Linked DNA regions of Daphnia pulex. The protein of the gene in region 1 purifies or fractionates together with the protein of each later gene. This does not show direct contact. Links are inferred from orthologs where the notes say so. Each region holds a gene or a part of one and is shown in the gene's direction. Other genes may lie near its edges.

Region 1 (4,137 bases):
CCTTGATCTCTATATTCTATTTCATCGGTCGCAACGCCATTTTCTTTGGCCTTTTTCAATTTGGCGTTGTGAAGAAGAACTTTGTCTCTCGATTTCATTACATGATTCAACGAGTGAAGGCAGTAAACTGTTCTAATCTCGTCATTGTTTAAATGGTTCATTTCAGGATAATAAACGTCGCGGTATTCATTTGCGAGAGTGAAAAGCTCATGCTGTAATGGGGAGAGCAGTTCTTCAGCCGTTTGTTTGTTGTCCGAGAGTGGCCTCGTATCAAGGTTGGAACATAATTGCAATTTAACACCGTATTCACTCAAGGGGATTCCAGTTTTCAATACAGGTAGACTACCAGGAATGACATAACTTTCTATTGTTTCACCTAGTAATGTAGGCTTTGGTTGACTTGTGTTTTTTTCAGGTTTGGTTGGCAGGTGAACCACCATTCTTCCAAGAACTTTCCACTTCAGTTCTTGAGTCTCATAAGGCTTGGGTGATGTCAGGATTTCTAAAAGGTTTTCATTTATTTCCCTGTCGAAATGAAGGTGGAAGGGATCCGTAGATAATGTTTCTTCTTCTTCATCACCAGAATGTTCTTCTTCCTCTGATTCAACTTCAAGATCTTCATGTATACTATTTTCCTCGTCAATTTCTTCAGCAACACCAACTGAACTACCACTTTCCTCTTCTCCTACTTCCTCATCGTCTTGAGCTGAATCTTCTTCTTCACTGCCAATGTCATCTTCATTAGATTGGTCATTGATATCTTCAGCTTCCTCTTCATCTGACTGTTCTTCATCAGATGTCAAAACTTGCTGTGCTCTACTACTGGATTTAAACATCGACAGCAGCTGTGTGTAAGGTTTGACTTCTTCTTCTGATTCACTGCTAGATGATTCTTCTTCGATAATAGGCACAGCCTCTTTTTCTTGTTGAAGCTTTTGTCTTTTACTTTCAGAAGTGTCATCTTTTTTTCCATCTCTATCTTGATTAAATTTCCTTTTGTTTTTAAAGTTACCTCCACCACGAGTCGATTTGTTACCACGGGAACCGTGGTTTTTGTAATTGCCACGTTTAGGCCCTCCTCGTCGTCCACGTCCCATTTTAAGAACAAAATAACGTTCGAATTTAATTTATCTGAAATCAAAACTCAAACTCAAATGCACGTGTCAAAATGAAAACTTTGATTGCAGACGTCCAAAGTTGCAAGAACAACACAGTTGATTAATTACAATTTAATAGTGTGCTGCCAAAAATGTATCAAAAATATATTTATTTAAATATATTTATTTATTTTATTCATATTTTTTATTTTATAAATTAAATTAAATGATTCCTTTAAAGTTGAAAATATAAATTGCCAACATGGCAACCAAAAATCACCAACCAAAATGGCGGGCGTCTGCTATCAGGGAATTCTACATCACCAGTGAAAATTAGTTTATTTACCGGAAAAGTTGACAGGTAGCAATCCTGCTTATATATAGACTGATTCACTGTTTAATAAAGCCTTCGAATGTAAAATTATCGGTGCCGTCACGATGGAAGACCGTTGTTTAAACGGTGGAGCCGACATGTTTGAATAATCAAAGTTTTGGTTATTATTGTTTGTGTTTTTGGATCGTTTGTTGTTTACCGATGGCTGGGCAAACGGATCTGAACAGTGGTAGTGTAAGTGGAAACAGCAGCCGGGACGATGTGCGAACTCATTTCACAACCAGAGAGGGAGTATATAAGTTGATAACATTAGCCGAATACTCCAGGGCAAATCGGCTGTCTGGTTACACTGCCATCCAAAGCCAGCAAGGAGCTGCGCTCGGTCAAGGTTCAAACCCTCCAGTTAGGGTTACTTTTGTGTCTCTACCATCTGATCCATCAGGTTTTTGTGACCGCATATGTTTCAACTATGGAAGGGAACTCTACTTCTACACCTACAAGGGAACCAAGAAACCAGCAGACTTGTCCAAGCCTGTTGATAAAAGGATTTACAAAGGAACCAGCCCCACTTGCCATGATATCAATAAATTAACAATCAGCAGTGAAAGTGTTATGCTTCTAGTTGGTTTCACTGGCGGACAAATCCAATTAGTAGATCCAATAAGGAAAGAAATAGGAAAACTTTACAATGAAGAGGTTTCTTGAGATTTTCTGTTTTCTTTATAAATTTATGGAATTTCAATAACATTATTTATTTTTTCCTTCAGAGAATAATTGAAAAGACGAAAGTAACATGTATCAAGTGGCTGCCAGGTTCCCCCAATTTGTTCCTAGTTTCTCATGTTTCGGGACAGATGTATCTGTACAGTGAAGATGTGACGTGTGGTGGACCAGCACCTCCGACCTATCAACTTTTTAAGCAGGGGGCCGGTTTTTCGGTCTGGACTTGTAAAGCCAAAAGCACTCGGAATCCCATTTACAGGTTATTATTCATCATTTCATTTTTAATCATTAATAAAATCAGGTTAAAGACTCCTCCCATCTAACCCCATATTTGGTTGTTAGGTGGGTGATTGGAAACGGCGCCATCAACGACTTTGCCTTCTCACCTTGCTCGAAATACTTGGCGGTTGTGTCGCAGGATGGGTGTCTGCGCGTTCTCAATTATGATGCCATGGAATTGATCGGACTGGCAACATCCTTTTTCGGCGGCTTGCTCTGCGTCTGCTGGTCACCCGACGGGCAGCTGGTAGTGGCCGGCGGCGAGGATGATTTGGTGACGGTTTGGTCTTTCCAACAAAAGAGAATCGTGGCCCGAGGACAGGGCCATCGATCCTGGATCACGGTGGTGGCGTTCGACCCTTTCACGACCCTGTATTCATCTCAATCCTCGTCTTCCAAGTCGTTGTCGAAAGAAGGAGTCGATACTTCGGTCACGTCGAACGGGACGGGCGGAATCGACGGCGAGGCGGAAACGAAATCCTCTAGCGACATTGCCACCTGTTACCGTCTAGGATCTATAGCCATGGACACTCAGCTGTGTCTTTGGGAGTTGACGGACGACGTCCTGAAACAGCCTTACGGTTCCCGGAGCCGAGCTTCAATGGTCTCAGGACCAGGATCGCCACCTTCTAGTCTGAAATTCACTGGCCAGACGCCCATTTCCGGCGATCGGAGTAGTAGCAGCAGCAGCAACAACGTTGTCACCATCACCCCGGTCAACAACTTGACCGTTTCTCCAGCACCCAGTAGTGCGACTGCCACGCCTGTCAACGCCGCAGGATCTCTCACTCAGCGGCTGGCGAATATGACATTTTCCGATAGAAAGTCGGGCCAGCAACAGGAGGCAGCAGCAACCGACTCGAAATCCCACCGAAAGAATTTCAGCCTTGGCAGTGGCCGGAATTCCACTTCGGATCGGTCGGGTAACGCGGCCAATTCGTTGGGTTTGAAATCCGTTTCTTCAGTCTCGTCCACTTCCTCCTCTGCGGGTACCACCACCACAGCGAACCCGTCGCTAGTGACGGGCTGTGCTGATCCGCTCCGGTTGATCGGCACGCAAGCCTGCCCTCGACTGGACGAGATCCCCATGCTGGAGCCGCTCGTTTGTAAGAAAGTCTCCCACGAGCGGCTGACGGCGCTCATCTTCCGTGAGGACTGCCTCATCACCGCCTGCCAAGATGGCATCGTCTGTACCTGGGCTCGGCCAATTGGCCCGTCTCCACACCACACTTCCACCAGCACACCCACCAATGAAGGCACCATGGTCTGAGATGATGATGAGAAAAAATTATCCATTCGTTACGTTCATCTCCCGTTCCTTTTTGTTTTTCCGCAATTAGCGACCGACGACAATTATCGTGTAGCCCTGTCAAGATTCTTCTTCATTAACCCCAATTCCAAACGAGCCATCTTGACCTACTCTTTTTCGCCCTCCAGTGAACAACCAAGTTTTGTTGTTTCTTCTTGTCTATCATCATCAGTTCATTTTTAGGTTTCTCTTTCTTTCTTTAACTGTGTCGTTAAACCCCAAACGGCCCTCAATTTTTCCCTCCCCTGGTGGTGGTTGGTGACGATATAACAACTTAGGGGCCCCGGATATGATTCTAACGGCATTTTGCAGATTCCTAATCTCACCACCTATCGTGCATTCTCCTTTCTTATCTTTCTCCTCCTTTTTTCTTCGATTACCTACAGGGTATAAGA
Region 2 (4,233 bases), on another chromosome or scaffold:
CCCTCTCTCTTGTTGATGACTCAAACAAGCAGACAGAGCAAAGCTGGTGGAGACTCATCATTCGCCTTGGATCCAGCCTTGGATGATAATTATAATAGCCCCGATGCGGCTGGCGCTGCCCAGTTGACACATTTGTAAGGCTGAACTAGACGTCAAAATTAAATGTATAATGAAAAGGTCACATGCCATTGTCAAGTTCATTGCAACCAAAGTGAACTTTACCTGACCGAAAAGACGAAAAAAGAAAAATAAAATAAAAAAACTTTGGTCGAGATAAAAATCCTGGCGACGACCGTCCATCGTTATCTTCTTTTCCCCGAGAAGTTCACATACAAGATAACGACGGCGCTTTTCCTCTCTTGGATTTGTTGTATATGTATGCGCGTCTATATAGCCGTATTCCGCCTACTCCGTCTTCCGGCCCAACGCACACACATGTGTCTACTATATATACACCCAAAAGTAAAAGTAAAACAATACGAAACAACAAGTGGAGCTGGTGGATGTCACAAGAGACTCACAACTGGATCAACACCGACACAGCATTGGCTCAATAGCTACATCCTCCTACATGTTCAAGGTTGACCACAAGTTGGCTTTCTCGTCCAGTCTGGAAGGCTTCATCAATATGTAGAAACCAAAAACTTGATTGAACTTATAGTTGATGCTGCTGCTGATCTCGTCGAAACTGGCTAGTGGCTTTGACGGAGAAGCGCGTCTATTTTACAAAAAACTTTAGACTCGACGTCGCCCGATTTTTCAACCAGTCCATGACCTATGAACTCGCGACTTGCTTGTTAGTAGCTTGACCTCTCAGCAACGTATGTCGGCGAGTCCGAGAAAAATTGACTTGAATGTTTCGTGTTCCTGCTAGCGAAAATCGAACGGTCTCTTTTTCTCATTTCAGACGTAACGCATCGATTACAGTGGCTTTGAATGAATAGGAATTGCTATTTTGTGTCAAAATGTTATGGAATCATTTATTCGATTGTTGTTGAACATTGGTAGGCAAGAGAGACAAAAAAACAATCCTTCAACATTCGCAAGCATTGCAAATCACTTGCATTTTATTTAAAAAACATTCGTGATCAGCAAGACAGCAGAGTGGCGCAGCGGAAGCGTGCTGGGCCCATAACCCAGAGGTCCGTGGATCGAAACCACGCTCTGCTATAACATTTTTGTCAACATTTTGAATGATTCGCAATTTTCCTTTAACCTAAATTGTAAAGTTTATATTTTAGTGATATCATTCCAATTTTTGCAAAGTCAACCATACACTGACCTACAAATAATGTCAAATTCACTTTTTGGGATTTCACTGCATATTTTTGAGGAATAAAGTGATGCGAGAGTCATCTAGCGGCAACCATCCATAACTATCGCTTTGTTGTTATTGTTGTTTTTATTTCTAGGAATGGTGAATTGTGCCAAGATCCAATCCATCATTCCAGTTCGTCAAGCAAAAAAAAGTTTCAACATGAAATGCCCGGAATAAACTGTTGAAACATCTTGAATTGGAATCTCCACAGAAAATCTTATGTTTATGATTTTACAAAAGATTTAAATTTAATCTAAAATGGACATGGAGAATGGTTGGAGTAAACTGCCTGATCACGTTTTGTTGCAGATATTTCGATTTCTCAAAGCAGAAGTATGTAGAGCTTCATGTTTATAGTCATCATTTCAAGTTAAATTTCTTTCTCTTGATGTTTCAAGGACATACTGAAACTTTCCACCGTTTCCCAGACTTGGTACAGAGTCTCTAGAGATGAACTATTGTGGAAATCTTTCTTTAAAAGAGACTGGAACATCAGTCCGAAAATTGGAATCGCTCCGGGTACATCTCCTCTCTCATATCTATTGAATTTATCAAATTTTTTAAAATTGCTCTCATATTTATCAAATGTGTTATATCTATGACTTCTAATGTGTAAATCTCATCCTTGTTTAGGCAAAACTTCATGGTTCAGTGAATATCTGAGACTGTGGCAGCACACACCAATATTAGAAACTGAGGTATTAAAGGGCCATACACATCAAGTGCTTCATGTCAGTTTCTCGCACAATGGCAAATATTTTGCCACCTGCTCCAAAGATGGCTATGTTATGGTATTAAAAGATTACAAACACTGGTATATCTAGTACATTGCTTGAATGATGTTTGATATTTCTTATTGTGCAGCTTTGGGATGCTGGTTATCCTGCCAGAATCAAACATTATTATGATATGAAAGTGTACAGCTGGAAAAACACTCAGTTTAGTCAATTTAATGAATCAGATACCCTTCTGTTGGTATCGGGAGTTCATTTTGGTAATCACTCAAATACGGGTGAAATCGCCGTTTTCAATCTTGAGGTAAGTGCCGTAGCAGGGAGCTGCTACTTGATACATTAGATGAAAAATTAATTTAAATCAATTTTATCTTGGATTCACAGGAGAACTTTGTGATTCAGTGCAGAATGTCAAATAAGCCTTACGATTTTTTTGGTACGTGGTACAATGACAACTACCTACTATCCGGTGATTTACGCTGGCTTGCCCATCTCGTTAGTACGTCAATCGTTTGGTTGAATCGAGCTTCACAAGAGTCCGATTCGGAATTCACTTCAATCATGAACCGTATGTTCAAGTTTTATAACCGAAGCGCCTCTTCTATTCGCTCAATCACGGTGGCTAACTGCCGCTCTTTACCTCAACATCAGACGTCTTCTTCCTCGCCGACACCCTCTGGCACGTCTGACGATTGCGCCTCCAATAAAGTATTCATTTTTGATAGTCGCTGTAACTTGCAGCATAATCGTGGAGAGCGCCCTTTTAATTGATTTTGTACAGAGCTGCCACAAGACGGGGAATCCAATTTCACAGCCCGAACTTGCCGGAACCAAGACTGTAGATCCCGGTTCAGCCAAAGAGTCCTTCCAAGAAACATGTAGAAAGATCTTTTAGATATTCTGCGGGTTCTGCGTTCAGTTGCATCTTAATATTTCGCCTTATGTTTCAGCTGAAGGATCTTTGTGGCCAATCAATACTACCGATGAGTTTCAGTGCTGGCGGCGAAACTCTCCCGACGTTTCCATTTCAGGGTAATAATAACTATTGCTGAATTTTCTAAAGCTCATTTTAAACATTTTTTTTTTCAATTGTTTAGTACTACATCCGCAATGGACGATGACATAGAGGGCGATTCAAAAAGTGAAGATAACGAAGCCGGTGAGCAGTCAGGTAGATCCGATTCGCCGTTTACCAGTTCCGGAACTGGAGCACGGTCTCAACGTGCAGAATCTGAAGCCACGGACGAAGATTCAGAGGAAGTGCTGGATCCCCGCGAAAAATTCCTAATTTTCACTATGGGTTCTAGAACTTACACTCCGCATCAAATAGGTTTGTTTTATAGCGTTTTCCTTGAACCCGGAACCTTCAACAATTACGTTTTCTACTCAGGTTTGAAACGAATCACTCCGTTTACTTTTTGCAATCGCATCGACGTTGGGCCGAGTTTGGCTGAACGAGTGGCTATCCAGAGGCAAGAGCGGCAAGCTTTGGAAGAATCTCTGGCCCTTGGAATTCCTCCGTAAGAACAGGTTTCGTGGTTTAATTGATCATTTTAATTCTTTCTACATTTCCAAAATCTCCAGTCCCGAACCTGTTTGGCAGGACTTTGAGGCGGTAGCCGATCGGTTTGACCCAATTGATCATATCATCGATTTGAATGGACATATAATTGGAATGTCTTTGTCTCCAGACCACAGGTATTACTTGGGATCCTCGTTTTCATCATAATAATTATTATCGACTTCTTAAAATCCGTATATCCGATTTCAGATATTTATACGTCAATGTGCGACCCTGGCCACAAGGTTGCACTATAGAGAATCCCCTCCAACCACCGCCCATCGCCCAAGAGATCGACATACACGTAATTGATCTAGTTACATTGAAGCAGGTATAGGAACACTATTGGAAATATGGCCATTGGCCAAGTAAGAAGGTATGACGCGAGGGAAACTAATATGGTTTCACGTTTCTGCCTTTCAGGTCGGATCTTTGTTACGGGCTCATCGGTCATTCACGCCTAATGACGAATGCTTTTTTATCTTTCTGGACGTCAGTAAGGATTACGTTGCAAGGTATAGGAGATGGGCGTTTACTTTGTATTGTTTCTTTAAGTCCAATTCAATGATTCGAATCATTCTATTTATGCTGTGAATAAGTGGTGCGGAGGACAAGTATGC

Evidence for each region. The genes of interacting proteins can lie anywhere in the genome.
Region 2: the proteins of WD repeat-containing protein 20-like (region 1) and F-box/WD repeat-containing protein 5-like purify together in Homo sapiens (co-immunoprecipitation; 3 studies listed by BioGRID and IntAct, counting the BioPlex papers as one, with this or other methods). This does not show direct contact. The link is inferred for Daphnia pulex from reciprocal best matches to the Homo sapiens genes WDR20 and FBXW5.

Annotation. Positions count from the first base shown.
Region 1 is NC_060023.1:10,107,495-10,111,631, reverse strand, and holds the start of WD repeat-containing protein 20-like, read left to right. Parts: upstream 1-1,319; 5' UTR 1,320-1,632; coding exon 1,633-2,127; intron 2,128-2,198; coding exon 2,199-2,413; intron 2,414-2,496; coding exon 2,497-3,703; 3' UTR 3,704-4,137. Other genes in the region: U3 small nucleolar RNA-associated protein 25 homolog, read right to left, coding at 1-1,097. UniProt on the Homo sapiens protein: Regulator of deubiquitinating complexes. Activates deubiquitinating activity of complexes containing USP12. Anchors at the base of the ubiquitin-contacting loop of USP12 and remotely modulates the catalytic center of the enzyme.
Region 2 is NC_060022.1:5,214,567-5,218,799, reverse strand, and holds the start of F-box/WD repeat-containing protein 5-like, read left to right. Parts: upstream 1-1,386; 5' UTR 1,387-1,576; coding exon 1,577-1,651; intron 1,652-1,716; coding exon 1,717-1,837; intron 1,838-1,951; coding exon 1,952-2,109; intron 2,110-2,182; coding exon 2,183-2,356; intron 2,357-2,436; coding exon 2,437-2,760; intron 2,761-2,833; coding exon 2,834-2,930; intron 2,931-3,002; coding exon 3,003-3,084; intron 3,085-3,149; coding exon 3,150-3,382; intron 3,383-3,442; coding exon 3,443-3,572; intron 3,573-3,636; coding exon 3,637-3,750; intron 3,751-3,823; coding exon 3,824-3,944; intron 3,945-4,036; coding exon 4,037-4,128; intron 4,129-4,212; coding exon 4,213-4,233. UniProt on the Homo sapiens protein: Substrate recognition component of both SCF (SKP1-CUL1-F-box protein) and DCX (DDB1-CUL4-X-box) E3 ubiquitin-protein ligase complexes.